3 linked regions of the Struthio camelus genome follow. The protein of the gene in region 1 purifies or fractionates together with the protein of each later gene. This does not show direct contact. Links are inferred from orthologs where the notes say so. Each region holds a gene or a part of one and is shown in the gene's direction. Other genes may lie near its edges. The genes, in order: AP1M1, AP1S2 and ATG9A.

Evidence for each region.
Region 2: the proteins of AP1M1 (region 1) and AP1S2 fractionate together in Homo sapiens (co-fractionation; 6 studies listed by BioGRID and IntAct, counting the BioPlex papers as one, with this or other methods). This does not show direct contact. The link is inferred for Struthio camelus from reciprocal best matches to the Homo sapiens genes AP1M1 and AP1S2.
Region 3: the proteins of AP1M1 (region 1) and ATG9A purify together in Homo sapiens (affinity purification with western blotting, with the first as the bait; 3 studies listed by BioGRID). This does not show direct contact. The link is inferred for Struthio camelus from reciprocal best matches to the Homo sapiens genes AP1M1 and ATG9A.

Annotation. Positions count from the first base shown.
Region 1 is NC_090967.1:5,185,519-5,193,369, forward strand, and holds the start of AP1M1 (AP-1 complex subunit mu-1), read left to right. Parts: upstream 1-4,850; 5' UTR 4,851-4,953; coding exon 4,954-4,995; intron 4,996-5,616; coding exon 5,617-5,773; intron 5,774-6,148; coding exon 6,149-6,216; intron 6,217-6,705; coding exon 6,706-6,836; intron 6,837-7,067; coding exon 7,068-7,215; intron 7,216-7,619; coding exon 7,620-7,746; intron 7,747-7,851. Other genes in the region: CIB3 (calcium and integrin-binding family member 3), read right to left, coding at 1,599-1,633, 1,941-1,991; protein FAM32A, read left to right, coding at 3,218-3,294, 3,369-3,507, 3,654-3,707, 3,895-3,963. UniProt on the Homo sapiens protein: Subunit of clathrin-associated adaptor protein complex 1 that plays a role in protein sorting in the trans-Golgi network (TGN) and endosomes.
Region 2 is NC_090942.1:139,270,911-139,277,904, forward strand, and holds the start of AP1S2 (AP-1 complex subunit sigma-2), read left to right. Parts: upstream 1-3,980; 5' UTR 3,981-4,311; intron 4,312-5,683; coding exon 5,684-5,862; intron 5,863-6,994. UniProt on the Homo sapiens protein: Subunit of clathrin-associated adaptor protein complex 1 that plays a role in protein sorting in the late-Golgi/trans-Golgi network (TGN) and/or endosomes.
Region 3 is NC_090947.1:28,034,087-28,041,326, forward strand, and holds the start of ATG9A (autophagy-related protein 9A), read left to right. Parts: upstream 1-4,230; 5' UTR 4,231-4,273; coding exon of another isoform or gene 4,274-4,376; intron 4,377-4,874; coding exon of another isoform or gene 4,875-4,918; 5' UTR 4,919-4,955; coding exon 4,956-5,119; intron 5,120-5,468; coding exon 5,469-5,540; intron 5,541-5,843; coding exon 5,844-6,005; intron 6,006-6,051; coding exon of another isoform or gene 6,052-6,109; coding exon 6,110-6,251; intron 6,252-7,240. Other genes in the region: tRNA endonuclease ANKZF1, read right to left, coding at 1-95, 289-511, 727-891, 1,205-1,320, 1,755-1,939, 2,334-2,436, 2,636-2,745, 3,101-3,227. UniProt on the Homo sapiens protein: Phospholipid scramblase involved in autophagy by mediating autophagosomal membrane expansion. Cycles between the preautophagosomal structure/phagophore assembly site (PAS) and the cytoplasmic vesicle pool and supplies membrane for the growing autophagosome.

The DNA of each region.
Region 1 (7,851 bases):
GAAACACAAATCCTTCACACTTGCAGAACAAGTCAGTGGAACTGCTTATAACAGGTATACAGGTCAGGCAGCCAAGCCACCAGACACAGAGTATCTGAAAATGGAAGAGGAGAGGGATTGGGTCCCCCCCACCCCACCACAACCACCACCAAAGTTTCAGATTTACTTCAATAGTGCAGACAATGCTATAGAGGCATGTAGTGTATTTATGATTTATGAATTTATGATAACAAGGCACAAGACCTTCAACCTGAAGGTCCACCTAATCAGTTTTCAAATACATAAAAAGTTGTTGTCAGGCAAGAGGGATCTGTTTTCCAAGTCAATGATGAATGTGATTAGAAATAATAGGTTTACACTGCAGCATGAAAGATTTGGTGTGAACATAAGAAAAAAAAAATCTGGATGCCTAAAGCCAGAGAGATTGAGCTCTTGAATCTGCGACCAACCCTAGGATACTTTCACCCACCCCAAGTATTTTTCTGTGTTTTTTTTTTTTTTTTTTTTGTAGAACTAGGTTCAGGAGACAGAAAGTATGCACATAATCATTTGAATGAGTTTTTTACTTTTTCACCACGCTATTTTCTTCAGTTCTTGTACTAGGCTAAGGATCCTGTTCACAGCTGTTGTCAACAAAACAATAGCACAGAATGTTAAAAGGGATCCCTATCAATAATAAATGTCTTATTCATGATACAGTTATGGTTCTGGCCTCTATTTACTACACGGAAAGGCAGACAGCTTTACATTTCACATATTACAGAATCATTTGTCATTTTGTACTGAGGTTCTAATCAGGGATGCGTTCCATATAAAATTGCCACGTGTGCTCTGTCTTTCAGAGAAATTAGCAAGTAACGTGGAATGATCTCTTGAGAGATGCAGATACTTTGCCTTTATCTTTCCGTTAATTTGCCCAATGGTTAGCAAAGGCAATGCAACCTTGCTATTATGTGTGTTATTATCTGTGAAAGTACAATTTACAACAAGAGGAGAACAAGTTCAAGTTTGCAGTGAAGACTCAATTCCACATCAACAAAGTAGGGAACCTGTCTTTATCACTTCCTTTGGACAGATATTAAGTGGATTGGTCCATGAGGCCCATGAAGGCTTTGGGAAAAGTGCACCTTACAGTATCAAAGCAGAACAGTTTTCCAGGACTAATTATTTACATCAAGAGATGAAAAATCTGAATAAAATTTGATATAGACATTACTGATTTTATAAAATAGGCAAAGTATCCCACACTATAACAGCATACTTTGAAGCATTTGTTATGGAACAAAGTGAGGGAACATGAATGTCACTGAAGGCGTACAGTAAAACATAAATTGTTACATTTATTTCACACAGAGAGACTGGTACCTTAATAAAAATTTAGAGATCTGGCTCAGTTCATGACAAATGATGTACTTTCTGTATATAAAAAAGCAACAGTGAGGGTCACATTGTCCAAAGGTATGTGGAGTTGTTCTGTCCTCTATCACATTAATTTTGCATAAATACATTTTTAAAATATTTTAAAAACCACCTCATATGTAGCCTGCCTTTATAGCAATCTCTGTACCTTACACACAAAACGCACACACAAGACTCACCTCAGAATTTCTTTCCTTGTAAAGAATGTGCAGTCCTGTGAAATAAGAGAAAAGATAATATGCAATGATAGTTTTAAATGCATTGGCCCAAACTTTTCCACTACAGTGACTTAAACACTCATATTGTAATGCAAGTGGCCAAGCATTAATGTTCTTTTCTTGGCATTATAATAATGATTATTTCATAACCCTTCTTCCTCTTGAGGCAAAATTAAACTATGTTACTTAAACCTTTGATGTAACAATACCCACACTTAACAATTTTTGAAAAGATTGTTTTAAAAACACATCCTTATTCAATGTGCTGTCTAAATAGCCATTTAGTTTGGCATTGTTTTATACCTGATATGCATCCAGTTGCTCTGGAGTGAAAATGGTTTGCTTGTTGCCCATTTCTGGCTCTGAAGGCTGGTTCTTGTCCCATCATTCTTTCCTCAAAGTTACCTTTATAGGAGGTCTGGATATTCAGACATTAAAAGCTGCAACAATGAGGTTCAGGTAGCAGAGGATCAAGTAACCAGCTTCCCTATTGCATGGGCTACAAAGAATCATAATAGGAGCATTTCATCTAATCTTTAGTTTGGCTACTTAAGGCTCTTACCCAGCATCACTCACCTGTCTCCTGTGTGCACAACAAAGACTCATATTACAGTATTTGGACAAACAACTAATAGCTTCTTGGTCGTGTCTTTGAAATGGTAAGTAGACCTTGTAGATTGCTTTTTTTTGTTTTTTTTTCATTCTTTCAAATATTTTAAAAGACCTAAAAACTGTTTGGAATGTCTGTCTTCTCTAAGAATTAGCATTAAATACTAGAAGTAAGTAATAATGAAAGTAACCCCCCCACCCCCGTCCTTTCTTTCTGAATTTTCTCTATAATATTTACTGTACACTGCCCACAGACAGCACATGGCAGTTTGTACTGGAGATAGTATCTATAAAGCCCAATCACTCTATTCTGCATTATCTAGTAATATACATTATCACTATTTAATGGTTATTAGTGTGGCATGCATACATATAGACATATGTGGTTTTTACACTAAAATACATGTCAATATATGATTTGTCTATAAAAACCGATATGTGATGTTAAAGGTTACATGAAATATGAAACTTAAGGGTCGAGGGAATAACTGACTGCATTTCTATGGCACGTAGCAGGCTGCATAATAATACATGTTCAGGGGGCAAGGCGTAAAACCTTCCTTCTCGGCCGTTCATCCAGTAAATTGGCAGCTTTAGCAGCAAACGAAGCCCTGACGCCTGGTTTGGAGGATGCATCTGTGAGGTGGAGACCCCGGAAAGGCAAAACTATCCTCCCGCCTCGGGGGAGGAGAAACGCCGGCCTCTCACTCACCGCCCCGCCTTGAAATCAGTAAAAATTATTCAGAATCGGTCCGTTGGGTGTGGAAAATAGGCGGCGGCGGGAGGAGGTTTCCTCAGCGGCGCTTCTGCGCGGCGCCCTCGGGGCGGCTCCTAACGGTTTTCTCCTCACAGAAAAAGGGGGAGTCGCTCCTGGCGCCCGGCCTCCCGCGCGGCCGTTGCCGGGGCAACGTTGCGGCGGCCGCCAGGGGGCGCCGCAGTGCGGGAGCGGCGGCGGCGGCGCTGCGCGGGCCATGGCGGACTACGAGGCGGTGCAGCGCGGGCCGCTGCGGCTGAAGGGCAGCGGCGGCGCCCTGGGCGCCGGCAAGCGGTGAGGGGCGGCGGAGGAGGAGGAGGGGGCCGGGGTTGGGGGGAGGCTCGGCGCTGACCGCCTTGTGCCCGCAGGAAGAAGAAGAAGGCGAAGGCGAAGGGCCAGATCCTGGAGCAGATCGTGAGCAGCAAGAAGCAGGAGGAGGAGAAGAAGCGCGGCCTGGACAAGCGGACGCCGGCGCAAGTGGCCTACGAGAAGATGCAGGAGAAGCGGGTAGGGCGACCCGGGCCGGGGTTAAATCCGGCCCGGCGGCTCGGGCTGGGGCTTGAAAGGCCCAAACGGGCCCCCCGAGGCAGCCCCTGAGGGGGCGACGAGCGCGGGGAAGTAACCGCCTCTCCTGTGTCCCCCCCCCCCCACAGCAAATGGAGAGGATCCTGAAGAAAGCGTCTAAAACCCATAAACAGCGAGTGGAGGTGAGAACTAAATTCACTCCTTACTGCGACCAGCGTGTGTTTGTCAGCACAGAGGATGGCGCGGGCCCGGAGGAGCCCTTTTGCCTCTGTGAAGCCCCCAAGGTGGGAGGCAGCGGGGCCCTGGCGCGCCTCGGCGTTAGCGAAATCATCAGACGTTTCATGTTTTCGCTCTCTTCCTCTCCCCTAGGACTTTAACAGGCACTTGGATACTCTGACGGAGCACTACGACATTCCTAAAGTCAGCTGGACGAAGTGAAGGGGCGGTTTTCTTACAAGGCTTTGGAGTTGTGTTTGTATCGAACAGGGGTCGCTATGTAAATCCGTGTATTCTCGGTATTGAATGTTTAATATATCTTCTGAACGTTTGTGACCTTGCGCTGTCTTATTTCACTGTTTTTGTCTTTTACACCAAGTAGTCAACTAAGCCTCCTCTTCGCTAGTGAAAGCTCTGGTTTATATAGGTGCAGTGGGCTGTTTTCTTAGAGCTCGAAGCATGGCTGAGTCCAAAAGCAATTGGTAGGAGCCAGCTGGAAAATGTTTCTATATTAGTTTGATACTAACTGTTCTCCTTCTTGGAACGGAAGAATCTCGGACAGTCTCTTCACTTAGCTTTGCTTGTAAATTATAGGAATGGTATCAGTTGTTTGCACCTAGAGTTCTTTCAGAGCTCAGGGTGGGTTCTGCTGTATTTTAAAATCCTCTTGTAACTCTGATGTAACTTCTCATTAAAATGCTTTTTTTTTTTTTTTTTTTGGTGTTTGGTGACCTGTACAAAGAGGTAAGGGCAGCACAGTGATAAAACAGGTGTTTGCATGGGGCCTTTTTCCTGCGATTTCTATCTTTTGTGCACAATTCCGACTCTCTTCCGAGGGATGATGTTCAAAACTCCAACCTGCCTCTTAAAAACGAGGTTGGCCTGCCACGGCTGGGTTGGCCACCAGCTTCCACCCCGTGGCCTGCAGCCCCTCACCTGGGTGTTACTCCTGCCCAACCCAACCCCCGGGGCCATCTACTGAGCGGCGGACCCATTTCCAGAGAGGTCTGAACCCAGCCACCCCCAGGGCCCTATTTAGGCGACGCGCGGGCAGCGCGGTGTCCTTCCGCCGCGGCGGCCGGGCGCTGCGCTCGTATCCCTCCTCGCGGCGGCCGGGCCTCGTTGCGCCGCTTCCTGCCGGAAGTGCCGGCGCGGGAGGCGGAAGTCGGTCGGTCGGTCCGGAGACGGGGCGGCCCGGGCGGCGGCGGCGCGATGTCGGCCAGCGCCGTCTACGTGCTGGACCTCAAGGGGAAGGTGAGGCCCGGGGCCAGCCGAGGGTTAGACGGGGTGGGAAGGCCTGCGGGGTCCTTCCCCGCGCCGCTGAGGGGGCCTGCGGGGCGCCGCCGGCCTCGGCCCGGCTGCTGCTGGGGCCTGTGGGGGCCGCGGGCCCCTCAGCGCCGGTTTCACTGCTGGGCTGCGAGGGGGGCAGTGGTGGCTTGGGTCTGTCCTGGGCCGTTAGAGACGCTGGGGGGGGGGAGGTTTGCGGCTGTCCCACCTGCCAGCTGGGCTCCTGGGCATCCCGTCTGGGGTAATCACGCTCTGCTGTAACTGGAGGTCGTTTATCTCCTCCGATTTAGGTGCTTTCCCCATCTTAAAAGCTGTTACCAGGGTGTGTGCTGCCATAGGGGGAGAGTGAGTCTAGAAAACATTAATGCATGACTTCTCAATGGAAAACTAGTGCTTGCACTGTAGTCCACAAAGTATTTTGGAGTTGTACCTTGCACGTATAGTCTGCAGAGTGGCTAGGGTGAAACCAACTGATGTCTCTCAAGTTACTTAAAGAGGCTTTCCGAGGATTCGTTTGTGTTGCTTCTGGATGGTAGCATCACCTGTAGAAAGAGAAAAAGATTAAAGGCTTTGTTGTTCTTTGTGTAGGTTCTCATCTGTCGAAATTACCGCGGCGATGTGGACATGTCAGAGGTGGAGCATTTTATGCCAATCCTTATGGAGAAGGAAGAAGAGGGGACGCTTTCTCCTATTCTAGCACACGGAGGAGTTCGTTTTATGTGGATTAAACATAACAACCTATATCGTATCCTTTATATTGCAAGTCATTTACATACGCTGATGTTAATTGCTGATATGTTATTTTCACAGTTTATATCTACATGCAAAGCTAGAGAATAGGTGAAGTTGTATAAGGAAGACTTTATTAAATAAAATGGCTTTATGGCTTAGATAGTGTAGTGTGCACTAGTAGCACAGTGCATAGGAAAGTATTTATATTAATTTTACTCTAATAAACTAAGTCTGAATCTTCTCATCTAACGTGACGAGAGATACTGTTAACTAAATCTTAATGTTTTGGCCAACTGTAATTGCCATACCATAACTTTGAAAATGCACTTGGTAAAAAAATCTTTCGAATGGTAATTTTGAATGCATATTCCTGAACATCCTTTATCAGTTGTTGCAACTTCTAAGAAAAATGCTTGTGTATCACTGGTGTTTTCATTTCTGTATAAAGTAGTTCAGGTGAGTATGAAATTTTAAAACTAACTTCTGCCTATTTTCAATTAAATCTAAATCTGATCTAAATAAAAGTGCGTAGAACTTTCACTCTTTTAAAAAGAGCACTGTGGTAATAGCACTTTTAATTTGTTTTTGGTTATATTATAGAAATGTCTTTCTAATGGCTAATAATAGAACGGGTAGCTGAGTAGGCAAAGGATGTGACACAATGTTGTGAGTAGTCGCGTAAGACCTGAGAACACAGAGGAGGATTAGGAATTTGGTGCGTGCATAGTGTCATAAAATGCAGGTTTTATGTTTGGTTTATCTGTACTTGGCGTGAAAAATACTTTCACTGGAATAAGTATTTTTCATAATAGTCAGAGGTATGCCTAAGATGCTGTAGCTCCCTTTTAAATGAGGTGTGTTTTAGCAAGTATGCATTGTGAATATGCTGTTGTTCCTCAATTAATACCCTCCTCCTTCACTTCCTTTCTCTGACTGTTGTTTCAGGTTTTTTCTGAATATTTTAAGGAGCTGGAAGAAGAGAGCATTCGGGATAATTTTGTTATTATTTATGAGTTATTAGATGAACTTATGGATTTTGGTTATCCACAAACCACTGATAGTAAAATTTTACAAGAGTAAGTAACAGTCTGCCTCACTTTCAGTGACAGATTTCTTAGGTAGCTTTGAGTATTCTGCAACATACAAACCAATGTTTTGGCTTGATCTATTCGCTAAAAAATCAAATACTTCCTAAGATTTAGGTTTGTAGCTTCAAACTTCTTTTATGTAAATCTGACGTTAAAGATGCTTCAAAAGCTGTAAAGTGTAATTTTCATGTTTTCTATCTCCATTATGTGTTTGTAAAGGTATATCACTCAGGAAGGTCACAAACTTGAAACTGGAGCTCCCCGTCCACCTGCCACTGTTACTAATGCTGTTTCATGGAGATCAGAAGGGATAAAATATAGGAAAAATGAGGTGTTCCTGGATGTTATAGAATCTGTTAACCTTCTGGTGGGTACCTTTTTCTTGAACTTTTACTGAGAGTTGTAGTAGTAAGTGTTATAAAGAGCTTACAAGGCCTGCAAGGGTACAATAGAGAGTCAAACTAACTGTGGCTGGGTGCACTGTGATGCTTAAAACAATCTGTGTGTCTTAAGACTGAGTATGCATAAAAGCACCCAGTAGATGAATAGTACTTTACTTGGATGTATCTTGTTTCTGACCAGTCTGAGGCTAGCCTCTGACATGTTCTTTGCTCCTTCTCCTTCCATCTGTCCTCATCACCTCCCTGATTCTACTCCATGACTTCTCAGGAGAAAGAAATCCAAGAAAATTGGGATGGCTGGCGGAGTGTTGTTTGATCTCGTGACATATGACATCAGGGCATTCTGACCTTTCTTTTCCTTGCTCCTCAGGTCAGTGCCAATGGAAATGTATTACGGAGTGAGATTGTTGGATCCATTAAAATGAGAGTCTTTCTCTCAGGAATGCCAGAGCTTCGCCTTGGTTTAAATGACAAAGTTCTCTTTGATAATACAGGCCGTGAGTATTTCAATGATACCTCTGTAATCATCGAGAATGTTGTCTGAATTCTTAGACTTTGAAATGCTTGAGGGTCAGGTGAAAGGATTTGTTCTTAGAAGATAA
Region 2 (6,994 bases), on another chromosome or scaffold:
ATTGCCTTCTTTAGTGGAGACCTGCAAAGATACAGTATACTCTTTTGAAAAGCATGCTGCCCACCTACTCAAGAAGGTGAAGACAGTTGAAAAGGAGGGGGAGCAAAGCATTTTTTTCCAAATATTGGGTTGCTTTCCTGCAAAAAAAGCTGTTAAAATTCAATAATCAGTTGTTCCTTTGGAATTAATAACTAGTTCATGTTATAACAGCCTCTTGGTTTACCCATCATTTTGGCTAACAATGAAAACACAACAAAAAGCTATCAGGGGCTTCACATTTGGCATTAGAACAGTGCATGAAGGGCCAGATGCCAGGATGTTGGTAGTTTGCCTTATTAATTTTCATACCCACATTCCAGACAAACCTAATATATTCTAATTAATTGAGAGAAAAAAAAAAAAACAAAACCCCAAGAACAGACATAAACCATAGCAGGCAAAAGCAAGTAAATTTAATCTTATTTTGTGTAAGCTTCCTCCCTCCCTCCCTTCTTCCTCTCTCCCCAGCTCCAGGCAGTTCTCTTCTGTGTCTCAAATCATGCTGAAAATAATCTAGTGAGTAAACTCTTGGCTGGGGACCCCAAATGTTGTATGGTCAATGGATATATCCCCTGAAGACTTGCTTTAAATCTAAGATGGAATACAAAGGACTTTTACTACTATAGCCGTTAAAAAATACAGCTGTTATTAAAATAGGGGGTTATCATTCATGGTTTGGAAACTAAAATACTGAGCTCATTCTTTAAAATCCATCTTGTTACAGCTGGTTATAAAACAATAAACAAAGGCTAATGAACAGAAGACTCACTGTGTCGTGTCTAAAATTAGACTGCATGACATTTGCATTGTCATGGGCTTGTGGAATACACAAAGGCTATTATATTATTGTTATAAGCATCATATGTATCTTTATCAGTTTGTTAATTACAGCTAGTTCAGTATATTGCTAGATCAATGGGTAAGTGACAGCATAATTTCTTACAGAAAAGAAAGACGGAGTGGGTATAAAGAGGGATAATTAGTACAAATCGCAACTCTTGCAAGCAGCAAGTCATCTGAAGTTCCTGGAAGAAACAGCACAAAGAGAAAGGACAACATTACCTCCGTCACTGCCCTCCTGCTAGAGGTACTGGATCCTCAGACTGACTCAGTTTTGATCCTCACCTGTACAGCCAAAACAAACCTCATTAGCAATACCCTGCTGTTTAAGTGAGAGGCAGCATAACCATTTGTGTCAGCATAGGATAAGAGATGGCAATGTGGAGCTGGGAATAAGAGGGTTGGGAGAAGATGTGATTTAGATAATCTGAAACCACCATGGAATCACACCTTAAACTGCCTAAAATAAGCCGTCTCATTTTGACAGAAATGAGTTAAAGAACGATCGTATCAGTGGCGATACAGGCAAGCTTGAGAAAATGGCATCCTCCAGCTGGAACAGCAATGAGGAGGCTGAGGAGGGCAGAAACTGCAGCTGAGATAGACCTGGTGAGCCTCAGTTCACATCACAGTTCACACGTGCCTTATCATACACCTGAAACTGCATTTAACAGAGTGATTCTGATCAAGAGGAGATTTAAGTAAGAAACTCTAGGCTAAAAATTCTAAAGAGAAGAAATCCAGTCATGTAATTGATAGGTGGGAGAAAAACAGAACAGTGCTCTGCTGGCATTTTAAGAAACGATAAACTGAAAACTGAGCAGGAAATGTGACAAAAATTTAAAACAAAGAGGCAGGATTAAAAAAAAAAAAGGGAAGTTTTTAGACTTTGCCTTTATGACACCAAAATACATATATTTCTTGAACCATCTGGGTAGTTCTAGTGATTCCAATTAACTAAGCGTTTGTAGAATGTGTGGTTTGATCTATGCAGAAATACTTCAGTATGCTGGGAAGTGACAAATCATAATACAGGTCTGGTGTGACTCCTTCAGAAATTCAATTCTGAGCTCCCATTACCATAACGATGCTAATATAGCGGAAATAGCTCAGATAAAGAGAAGTGAAAGTTGGGTGCTGGATTATACAATGATTTAGAAGATTTATAAACACTAGAAGTGTGTATATACTCATGATGGAGAATTCATGAAGTACAGGGAGCTAAAATGAAGAATAATAAAGTGTAAATTAAGGAGAGAATTTATAAAAGCTTCCTGAACAACAGGATATTTTAGACTGTGGAATAGCCCCACAAGGAGCCAACAGAGCTGCACTGCTTGAGAACTTTAAAACTACTGAGGACAAAATAATGTACAGAAGAGTAGTTCCACAGGCAAAAGAGTAGACTGTCTGAGCTAACAAATCCATACGCATCTGTTCCTGGACTTAACGAAAGACAAGTTCAAATGAGAACAGGATGGCTGCTAAGTAAACATTAAATATGATGAGGACAAGCACCAACAATAGTAGTGCTCCTTTTCTATGTGACTCTAATACCGTAATTGCCTCATTCATTCACTTTAGTTTCACGCATGTCTCCTTTTCCCCATGTCACTTTCATCTTACAATTATAATCTGTACCATAAAATGGGAAAATGGGAAAGTAACATATCTGCAATTTTCCTCAAGTACAATTGATTATAGCATTCCTTGAAATGCCAGAAAATTGGCTTTCCTTTCAGACTATCCACATTTCTACACAAAAGCGTTTCCAGTGCTGGTTTCTGCTGCCACAGCTGTTTTGTAGCCAGAAGAATAGATTTTTTTTTTTTTAGGATGTCAGTAATAAAAAGTAATAAAAGCATGACACTTCCCAGAGCGACTGAAGCTACTCTTAATGAAGAGGTAGAGAGGGCAGCACAATCCTACTCCCTTTTTCTGCCAGTTGCTCTGTTGAGCCATTTAAAGATCACCTGGTAAAAATCACCTTGTCTGATTATTTCCATCGTTAATGTTGGCAAGGTGAAGGGCACCAATAGTGTCAAGAAATATAAGTCACTATAGGATTTTTTAATGTACTCCAGCTGAAAGAGCTGTTTCTTTCAATCCCTTTCAGACTACATTTTCACCTTATATTTTCAGCTTAGCAGCATTAAAACAAACCAACCCCCACCCAAAACAAGTCAAGCTGTTTTGCTGTGGAAAACCTCTTTGGCTGTACACAAATGAAAAAAAAAATGCATTTTCATAACTCAATCCCCTAAACATACGACTGTGAGGAATCCTGGGAATTTAATTAGCGATCACAATCAAGGTGACTTTGGGAGAAAGGCTGATGAGGAAATTCAACCGCGCCTGCTGAAGCCCGGCACCCCTCCCACCACCCCCACTGGGGCGCTTCGGCCGCGCCGTGGGCCCGGCCGCGCCCCGGCAGCGCCCGCGCCCCAGTGCCGACACCCCTCTCCTCAGGGGAAACCGCCCCCGCGCACGCCCCTAACGGCCGCCCGCGGCACCCGCCTCGCCCCGCAACAGCGCCCCCCAGCGCCCGCCCCGCCCCGCGCGCCTCCCCCCACCCCACTCTCCTCCCCACGCGGGGCCCGCACGTGCTAGAAAGAAACACCGCGCCGCGCACGCGCGGGCGGGCGGGCACCTTTCCCCCCGCCCCCCTCTCGGCTTCGGGGATGGGGAGGGCGAAGGAGGAGCCTCTATCTCCGGGCTCCTGATTGACTGATGTCATTTCCCCAGCTCCGTGCCTGGCCGGCTCATTGGCTGCTTGCGAACCGCTATCTGCATTGCGCTTCCTGGTTGGCTGTTGCCGCGCGGGCCATTGCCCTATCCTAATTTGGGCCACGCGGATTAAGTTCTTTAACCCCACCTTCCTTGCCCTAGCTCCTCCCACTACCAGCGCCAGCTCCTCCCTCCCCGCCCTCTCCCTCCCTTTCATTGGCCATCACCGGGCGCTGAGCTCCCCGATTGGGTGGCGGCGGGCTCCCCGCCGTTCCCCCACCCGTGCCTGCACCGCGCCTGCGCTGAGCTCGCAGGTTCCCCTTGCCCCTCCCGCCAGCCGGCGAGCTAATAAAGTTTGGTTTGCGGGGGAGGCGGGGGGAAAGGAGGGAAAAACCGGCGGCGCCTTCTGGCCCCGCCCACTCCGTTCCCCGCCCGGGAGCGGCGTCCGTCAGCCCGGCCCGGCCCGGCCCCGCCCCTTCCCCCCTCCCCACTCGGGCAGGTCGGGGCGGGGGTAGCCGTTGAGTCTCTCTTTCTCTCTCTCTCTCTCTCTCTCGCGCGCGCGCGCCGGGCTCGAGCCGGCGGTATCTGCCCTCCCCTCCCCTCAGTCCCGCTCGGCAGCCGTGGCGGCAGCACCAGCCACCGCCGTAGCGGTGCCGCGTCCTCCTCCTCCTCCTCGTCCTTCCTCTCCCCCCCTCCCGGGGCACGGTGAGCACCGCCGCGCGGGGACGGACTCGCCTCCCCCACCGCGCCGGGGCGCGGAGCCTGCCTGCGGGCTGCGACAGGACGGGGCGGGGGGGGGGGGCAGGTGTTCCCCCGCGCCCCCAGTTGTGGGACGCCCCCCCCCCCTCCCCGCGCTGCCCCAGGGAGAAGCCGTTAACGGCTGAGGAACGGGGCGGCCGCTCCCCGCACACACCGCGGCGGCAGCGCTCCCCGCACCCCGGACTGGGACGGGCGGAGCTGCCTACGGCCGTCGCCCCCCGCCCGGCCCAGGGAGGGGAGAGCGGGTCGGCGCGGGCCCGCACCTCTGTAGCCGCCCCTCGTCTCCGCGGCGAGGCGACGGGAGCTGGTGTCGCCCGCGACCGTTGGCGGCTGGGGAGGAGCCGCGGCGGCTGCTCGGGGACGGCGGGAGCCGCGAGGGTCCCCCTGAAGACAGGCGGGCGCGGCGGGGGGACGTGGCGCCGGTGCCGGCCGGAGTGTGTGTGTGGGGGGGCGGCCCGCGCGGAGGGACCCCCCGGCACCGCTGGGCTTCGGGGCTGCCTCTGCTGCCCCTTGTCTGTGCTGGCGCTGCTGGAACTTGTCACCCGGGGCGAGGCTGGGCTTTCTCGTGGTATTTCACGCCTGGCTGATTGCCTGGGAAACTTCCTCAGCACTGTACAACTTTGAGCAGAAAGGGTGGAAGGAAAAAAGGCTGTTTCCTTTAATGTTACAGCTGCTGGAAAACACAGCCGGCAAGTTCCTCTTAAAATGTAATTGCAACATCACTCCTTTAGAGGAAGCGAGACCTGGAGGGTAGGACTGCAGGCACAGCACTTAATGTCTACTCCTTTTGTGTAATGCAAGAGGAGGCAAGGCTTTTCTGTGCCGTAGGACTCTCCATTGGGAGGTTTAATGCCTCTTAAAGTATTCTGAGGTTTTTCGGAAAGATCTTAAGTGCAAATTGCTCCTGTTGTAAGGCTATAATCCGGTCAGTGGAAAACGAGTTTGGGTGTTTCGGGAGACGGCTATGCTGTTTTTTATCCTTGTCTGTAGTAAGTGCAAATACAACTATATCACTGCTGGACATGGTTTATCTGAAATTTTGGTTTATTCACTGTCCGGTGTCTCCGAGATCTGTTTCTGAAACTTGTGTATGCCTTCTTCCATCTTGGCTGTGACTAACCTTGTTTAGTTGAATATTATATTATTTGTATTTCCAAATCTCATGTAGCATCTGCTACTGCTTAAGAAATATTTAGTGTGGTTGCGGCTTTGGATGCCTTATCTTGCTTCCTATTTGGTTCTCCTCATACAAATCTTTATACAACTAAGAGACTGAGATTAATCCTTTCTTTCTTTTTTTCTGCTTCCAATTCAACAGATGCAGTTTATGTTGCTTTTTAGTCGTCAGGGGAAACTGAGACTTCAAAAGTGGTATGTTCCATTATCTGACAAAGAAAAGAAGAAAATCACAAGGGAACTTGTTCAAACAGTATTAGCCCGCAAACCGAAAATGTGCAGCTTCCTGGAGTGGAGAGACCTGAAGATTGTCTACAAAAGGTTGTTCTGTCTCACTAACCTCATAATTGCCATACATCACGAACAATGTAATAAGTAGCAAGAAAATAGTAAAGGTTGATTTCCCCATTCCTTCCCTGCCCCCCACTGGTTATGGAGAAGTATAGGTTCTGAGGGTTTTTCCTTGAATCTAATTTGATAACCAAGTAGGAATCATTCATGTGCGGAAAATCACTCATGCATTTAGAAAATGTACTGAAGAAAAGGGATGAGATTTCCTTCTACTTTAATAAGGAGTGGTTCGTGTTCTCTGCTTAGATGCCCACAGAAAATAAACGCGTACAAATATGAAGCATGCATGATTTAATAGCTAATAAAGAAAAACTAAATTTTATAAACATTTACCTCAGACAGTGACTTCATAAATCAGCTGCAAATTGAAACTTACTTTTAAAGGCTCAAAGAAGTAAGAATGTTACTCTTTTATTTCTGAGTAAATAGATTTTCTTTGCTATGAATACAAAAGGAGTATCTCCTAACTTGAGAAATCATGCTTAACTTTCTTTTGGTGAAAGTACTGTATACTTTTCTTTGGCAATAGCTTCATTTCTCACTTATTGCTAACTTTTCTAAGGGTATGTGGCTACAACTTTTTTGCTTTATGCTGACCTTTTAGAATGTAATGCAAAGTAGGCGTGTGAAAATACTTTTCTGCACAAATAACTGTTATTCTCGTCCTGATTTGCTAGGATGGATCTCTTCCATCTAAAGCTGATGTATGAAACCTTGAGTTAACTCCCTTCCCTGGTTATGTATAAAATTTAAAAGGTTTACACATTTTTATTTCTCTTTGAGATAGTAAATAATTTCTGTGTGTACAATATTGCTCTCTTCTCTCTGAAGGGAAGAGAAAGAGAATTGGACTTGAAATTAAGAGCTAGTAACTATTCTCCAAGAATTAGACCCTTAGATCTTGATCTGATAGAGATAGAGATATATATATATATATAAATATATATATCAGTGCATGTAGCATCATGCACATGAGTGTTACCAATGTAACTGATGGGTATAGTTCTCTTAAGCTTGTAAGAATAAGGAAGCATCCATAGGGAAGGAGGAGTAATAGTGCATAAGGTCATGCTTAAAGAAAGCATGCACAGTTTTATTCTGG
Region 3 (7,240 bases), on another chromosome or scaffold:
GTCATGTCTTCCCGCACAACATCCATTTCTGCTGCCCGTCGCCCCTTCTGCAAACCCTTCTGGGGGGACCTAGTGATCTCTTCCAGCGGCGTGTCCTTCCCTGGGCAACAGGGGTGCTCCCGTCATTGCCTGGTGACAGGGAGTGCTCCATGTCTCCAGGGATGTAGGGCAGGAGGTTGCCACCTCCGCTGCATGGTGCGGCATGCCTTAATGCACATGGGGTTATGTGCAAGGACCACGTCACCCCATCTGCTCTGACCCACAAGCAACAGGGCTGGGCCGGCTCACCGTACACCTGCAGGCTGGCCAGCACAGCGTGGACTCGCAGCACCTCCCGCAGGGTGGCCCTGCGGGTGCTGAGTGGGATGTGGCAGACACGGGGGTCACCCTGGGTGAGAGGAGGGTTCCTGCCGCCAAAGAGCAGCGTCCGGTTGTGGCGAGGGGCCCGGAGGAAGATGCGCCGAGCTTCCCGTAAGTGGTGCGCCCAGCCTGCCAGCAGGTCCTGGATATCCTGGGGAGGAAGGAGTGAGCACCGTGGGGTCCTGAACCGCACAGCGTGGGCAGAGACAACTCTAAAGCAGGAACCGTTTCAGGACAGAGCAGCCCCAACTGGATCCTGGCCTCCCTCTGGAGCTCACACCCCACGTGTGACTTCCAACAGCAGCTCAGTACCACCCCACAGAGCCGGCCATGACCACGTCCCCCTGCCAAGGGCCCAGTGCTGACCTCATCCTCACCCTTAGCAGCGCGGCCTCATTGTAACGCCGCAGCGAGGCTCCGGCTGACCTGGGTGCTGCAGCTGGGGTTTGGGCATCCCGTAGGCTCTGGGACGTGCCCCGCCGGGCTCGCACTGTGTAGCGGTGGAAGGTCTTGTGCTCCTGCAACTGGGGGCTGTGGAGAGTGGCAGGCATGAGCAATGAGGCCCCACGCGCAAAGGGGAGGAGAACTGATGCTTCCCAGGACCCTGGAAGAGGTGTTGCCCCTGCCAGTGCCCCATAAGCGCTTCTCTTGCAGTAAGACTGAACACAGCCAACTCTCAAGCAAAGACCCAGAGCTGCTGGTGCCCAGGGTACGTGTAAGCGCTGCGATGGAAAAATGGGAGTTGGGGGTGGGGTAGCCATCATCAATGAAGGGCCTATCCAACACCCAGCCGCACTTGTTCCTGCCCAGAAGGGTGACCCCAGGTCTGCTCCCCCATACTCACCCCTGGAAGACAGCTCCTGCGAAGTGTCCACCACCCATCATCAGCACAACCCAGCACGTGCTTGCACTGAGGCTCTGGAGCGATGCCACCAGCTCCGCTGGCTCCTCACTGCCACCCTGAGACACAGACCCTGCTGCTAGTACCTGTGGGATCACCTTACTACCTCTTGCTGTCCTGTGCGACATGGGCCAGCCCCTCTACTGGCACAGGGACAAGGGCTGCTACAGATAAAAGGGAGCAGGGTTCACCCTGTCCTACCCATACTACTGGGCTGTGCTGGGGGTCTCAGCTACTGCTTCAGCCCTGGTTTGAGCAGGGCTTTGCTCTTACAAAGGTCTGTCCAATTACAGGGAAAGACGGGAGGTTGGTCTTGCTGCTGGGAGTATCCCAGAGTCAAAAACAGATGATCAGAGAGCCTGGGGCTCTGATCTGGCACCAGAGGCCACCCTCCCCTTCCAGGGACATGGGGAACTCCCAGGCAGATGTCTACACCCCAGGGTCATCCCTCTTCTCTGGGGTCCCTCTCCCAGCAGGCTGAGTTGCGACTTGCCTTCCCAGTGCCCAGCACGCAGCGGTAAGCAGAGATGAGCTGGCCCTTTCCGTTCCTGAAAAGCACCTTGTGGGAGCGGAGGACCTGGGAGGTCTCAGCACTATTGCTGACAGGGGGCAGTGACTGTGACTCACTGCTTGAATCGGAGCTCTCCAGATCAGACCCTGAGATGCTGGAAACATCGCCTGCAAGGAAGAGGAAGTGGGGCAGTGGAGCCGGGCAGAGATCAATCCACAGCTGTCCCCAACTTTGCAGATAGCTCCAAGGGCTGACTCGGAGCCCCAGAAACGTCCTGTCCAACACCTTACACCGTCACAAGGGGGCTGTAGGCTGGGGAGAGATCCGTCTGGGGCTATAGATCCCAAGTACAGACAGACAGGGGCTCAGTGGAACGTACCTCCCTCCCAACAAGTCAAAAGGTTCAAGGCCCAGGAGCAGAGCCAGGACCCCCAGGAGACTCTATCAGGGCAGAACAAAAGGACCCTAAACAAGCAGGGACAGCTGGAGGCTCACGTCCCCAGCTTGGGCTGGACAGCCCGGTGGCCTCTGGGCCCTGCTGGGGGCAGCGCCATCGCTCACCTGCGCAGGTCTTCTCTTCAAACCCCTCTGCTGGCAGTGCTGGGCGCCCCAGGAGCCGCTGCTTCAAGTTGAAGCGGTGCCAATCGAGACGGTAATGCTCAGTCTGGGGAAGAAAGAGGGTGAGGGGGGTCCAGCAGGGTACACAGGCCCTTAGGCAGGGATGCAGGCAATGGGGCGCCAAAGAGCAGCCAGCACTGTGCTGCGTAGCCGTGGGGCCGAGTCTCCGCAGCAGGACCCTGCAAGCTGTGCCAGAACTGCTCAGCGCTGCCACTGCTGATGCTGGCAGCTCGGCCTCGGCTCACCTGCTCCTCCCGGCTGTCAAACGCCTGCGCACAGGTCAAGCAGTACATCCGCTCGGGCACCTCAGGGACCCCGTGGGCTCTCTCCTCACCACCAGCAGCTGCGCGTTTCTCTAGAAGAAGAAGTAAGAGCTGAGCCACAGGCAGCTATTCATGCAGCACCACTGCAAGGGCTGAACAAGGAGCAGGGACTGCTGGGTCTTCTCTTGGCCACACACAATCCTGGGCACCCAAATAACACTACGGCAGTAGGAGGAATTTCAGAGACCTTGGAGGGACAACTATAGGTCCACACAAAACACGTTTAACCATTCACCCTGCAGCTCTCACAGCACCAAGCTCCAAGTAGGCACCCAAGCTGTATTGCAGAGTACGAAATCCTCTTCTCGTGGTCTGGGGCAGAGAGATATGAGCTTGGCCCAATAACCCCCTCATGCTACTTCTCTGCTCCCCTGGAGCTAAACCCACCATGGTTTACAGGCCTCGGGTCTGTGACCGATGCATCCACCGAAAACCCAGTGACAAGGGACAGCCCATACACGAAGGCGGGGTCCTGGGCAGCCTCGAAAATGGATCTGTTCTCTGGGGCAGGCATTGCTGCTGCTCCTGATCAGAGGGGATAGCGCTGAGGGTGAGCAACAGCCCTGTCTCCAGGACGCTTCCCAGCTGGAGGAGGGCATGGGAGGGGGGTGCAGAGGGCACAGAGGACAAGGACAAGGGAATTTCCAAACCCAGAAGCACCAGCAAGGCTGGGACCCCAAAGCCTTCTTCAGCCTCTTCCCCCCCGGGGGATCCCAACAACTCCAACAGGTGGTGCCCCCCAAAAGGAATCCTGTGCCCTCCCCCACAGTGGCCAGTGTTTCCCTCCTCAGGACCCTGGTTTGACCTCCCGGGATCCCCCTCTGCCTCTGGCGATCCTTGTTCTCCCACAGCCAGTGCTCACCACCACAGAGCGTCCCTGCCCCATGGCACCTCCCCACCACAGGGTATCCCTGCTCCATGGCACCCCCATCCCTCTCCCCCTGTGGCCGTTCACGCCCTGGCGGGAATGTCTCTCTGGGAATCCCCCAAAGGGAAATTATTCCCTCCGGGATCCACCCCCTGGATGTCCCCCCAGGCTCTTACCCGCTCTCCGGGATCCCCCCTCCCCGCAGCTCCTAAGCCCTTTTTTCCCCTGGGGATTCTTCCCGTGGCCATTACTCCTCACCCGGCGTCCCTCTCCCCCCCGGGTCCCTCTCCCCCGCGGCCGGTCCCTCCGGGTCCCTCCCCCCCGGGTCCCTCTCCCCCCGGGTCCCTCTCCCCCCGGACCTCTCTCCCCCCGGGTCCCTCCCCCCCCCGCGGCCGGTCCCCCCGGTAACCGGCCTCGCGCACCGCCACGCACGCGCCGCCCCCTGCCCGCTGTCCACCCCGGCGGCCCCGCCCCGGAAGCGCCCCTCAGCTGCCTTACGCCACATCCGGCCCTCCGACGGGAAGCCGCTAGGCTCAGCCCAGCCTCCGGGCCGCCTGCCTTCCGATTGGCCGTCGCCGGCCCCGCCCCGCGGCTTCGATTGGGCAGCGCGGCCGCCAGTCGCGGGGCGGGCGGGGCCGGGGCCGGGGCCGGGCCGGAGCGGGGGGCCGGGGCGGCGGCGCGGGGGCCCCGCCATGGCCCACTTCGAGACGCAGTACCAGCGCCTGGAGAGCTCCTCCACCGAGTCCCCCCCCGGCGGCGGGGACCTGCTCGTCCACGTCCCCGAGGGCGCCAAGTGTGAGCGGCGGCGCTGGGACCGGCACCGGGCGTTGGGGCCTGTGACGGGGCCTGGGCACCGGGGGGCGAGGCGGGGGCGAGGCCGCGGCCTGAGAGCGGCAGAGGCTCTGGGCCCCGGGAAGGGGCCGGCAGAGGGACTAGGGACCGGGGGGCGGGGACTGAGAGCGGCGGAGGGCTGGGGGCCGGCCGGCCGGCGGGGCGGGCTCTCCCGGGGAGCTTGAGGCTGGGCAGCTCGGGGGACCTGGGGGCTTTGAGGTGAAGGGGGAGGACCCGGGCTGGCCCTGGGGGCTGGGGATCAGCGGGGCAACCAAGGGCCAAGGGGGGGTCTGGGAGTTGGAAGAGAGAGCCTGGGGGGAGCCAGGGATGGGGGGTTTGTGGGGCTGGGTCGGGTGCCCGGGAGGGAGACCCGGAGAGGGGGGAAGAGGGGGTTGTGTGTGTTGCGGGAGGTAGGTCAGGTGCGCCAGAGGCACTCTCACCCTGCGTTTCTCCTTCCTTCAGCTCCATGGCATCATATAGAGAACCTGGACCTTTTCTTCTCTCGTATATCCTTCCACAACATGCACACTGTGTTGAGAGGGCATGCGCTCCCCCTGCCTTGTGCTGTGCTCCCCATGCTGGCAGAGGTGCTTGGTTTGGCATAACTGGGGGTCCAGGCAGCATCTGCTCCTTTGCTTAGGACACTTCGTGCTTCCAGAAAGGCTGGGGAAAGGTGGAGCCCCTGTGCTTATGGGATGCAGTGGCTAGTAAGTGCAATTTTGCCTGTCTCTGTATTGCCCTGTGCCTGAGATCTTTCCCTGCTGCCTGCCCGCCCATCCCTTGTGCAGCCTGAGGGCAGGCTGAGTTTCTGTTCTCTTCCTGGGCCAAATCTACTTCTGGGGGAAGAAGGGGGTTTGGGTCAAGCCGGGTCCTCTTATTCCAGCTGTGCTATACCTGGAAGGAGTGTGTTTCCCTTCAGCGGAGTACCAGCTTGCTGGTGAATAGAGATGGGAGGGGGTTTCCATCGCTGGTAGCGGATGGTGGTGGGACGGGAGGTCTTTCAGGTCACCCTTTGTCAGAGGGGAAAGCTTTCCAGTCTGTTCTCCTTGACTGTAGCGCTCACGTCTATAATCTGCATCAGAAGAATGGCTTCACCTGCATGCTCATCGGGGAGATCTTTGAGCTTATGTAAGTGCAGGCTCTTGTGCCTTGTAGGCTGTTGAGGCTGTGACGGGAAGCTGGGGAATGGCTGTGGGAGTGTCACGAGCCATTCCAGACAGGTGGGCAGGAGGGTGTCCTTCTCAGATGTCCTGTCCACCTTTCATTAGGGTTGTCCATGCCCAAACCCATATGCCACTTTGAGGAGGTGGTGCTATGAGCTTTCCTGGCACCATGGCTGTGGGGCTGCCTGACTTGCAGCTCTTGTCTGCCATGCCTCTGGGCGGGAGGTGGATGAGGTGACTCCTTCATGGCTGCTCCCTGTCTTTGCAGGCAGTTCATCTTTGTGGTGGCGTTCACCACCTTTCTTATCAGCTGCGTCGATTATGACATTCTCTTTGCCAACAAAGCAGTAAATCACAGCCAGCACCCAAGTGAGCCTATTAAGGTGACGCTGCCAGATGCCTTCCTGCCTCCACATGTCTGCAGTGCAAGGTAGGAGCAGCTGAGGGCACGTTAGTCACTGCTCTTGCTTTCTCAGGTACTAAGGGCTCCTGTCCAGGGCTTGACTCCAGCCATCTTCCTCTTCTTGCCTGCAGAATCCAGGCAAACAGCTTCCTCATCTGCATCCTGGTGATAGCTGGGGTTTTCTGGATCCACCGACTCATCAAATTTATCTATAACATTTGCTGCTACTGGGAAATTCACTCCTTCTACATCAACGCCCTCAGAATCCCCATGGTAAGTAGCTGGGCTGAGGGCCCTATGCAGGGATGCAGAGGAAAACAAGAGGTCCTTGCTGTGCAGTGAGAAGCAGTTCACCTCCACCCCCCTCTGGAGCCAGCTTCTTCACGAGTCTTGTGCCAAGTGCTCTTCCTTCTCCTCCAGCTCTTCCCAGGGTTACATAACCGTGTTGATCTCCTTTCAGCTTTTCCAGCAGCCAACTTGCTGCACGTTAACTCTTCTCTGCCTAGCCTGTCAATGTGTGTGCTGGCATGTGCATCTGCCATCTGCCACCCAATATGTTTATTTTTATCTGTGATGGCCTTTTCTGTGATGCGTTTCAACAGCAAAGGCATAAGCAAGGGTATTCTCATACCTCCTGGGAGGCGAGTAGAATCGTCTTCTGTCTTTATTGATGAAGAAACTGAGGCATAGAGCTACTTAGTTGGTGAAGAGCATGCTGGAGATCTGTGCCAGAGATGGGATTTGAGGCTTACACCTACAACCTGCTGCTAGATCTTCTCCTCTGTGTGAGGACGTCAGAGGGTGTGTGTGCTTCCTTTTAGGAGAGGCTGTTGAGAAAGATGGGCTGAACCAAAAGGCTTGGTTTGTCCCCAGCTTTGCCGCAGGCTGCTTCTGGGACAATGGTCAAGTCCCTTTCCCTGTCCCTACTTCCCTTCCGACTCCAAGCATTAGGTATGCTTTCCAGCTTCCCAGCTCTGAGAGGAAAGGAGAGCTCACGTGAACCTGGGGCTGTATTCGTGCCTCCAAGATAGCTGGTGTGTGAGTGGGTGGGAAACAGTCATCTGCACTAGTCCAGGGGTAGAGGGCACCGGGGCAAGGTATGGGGTTTGCCTGCCACAGGCTGAAGCAATGTGGAAAGGTGCCTTGTGTTGCGTGTGCTTCACTGGTACCCCAGGAGGGTGTGCTGGGACCCGCTGTTAGAGCAGGGTGCAGCCCGACCTCTGTCCCCAGACACAACCTGCCTCTAACCTTGCTGCTTCCCC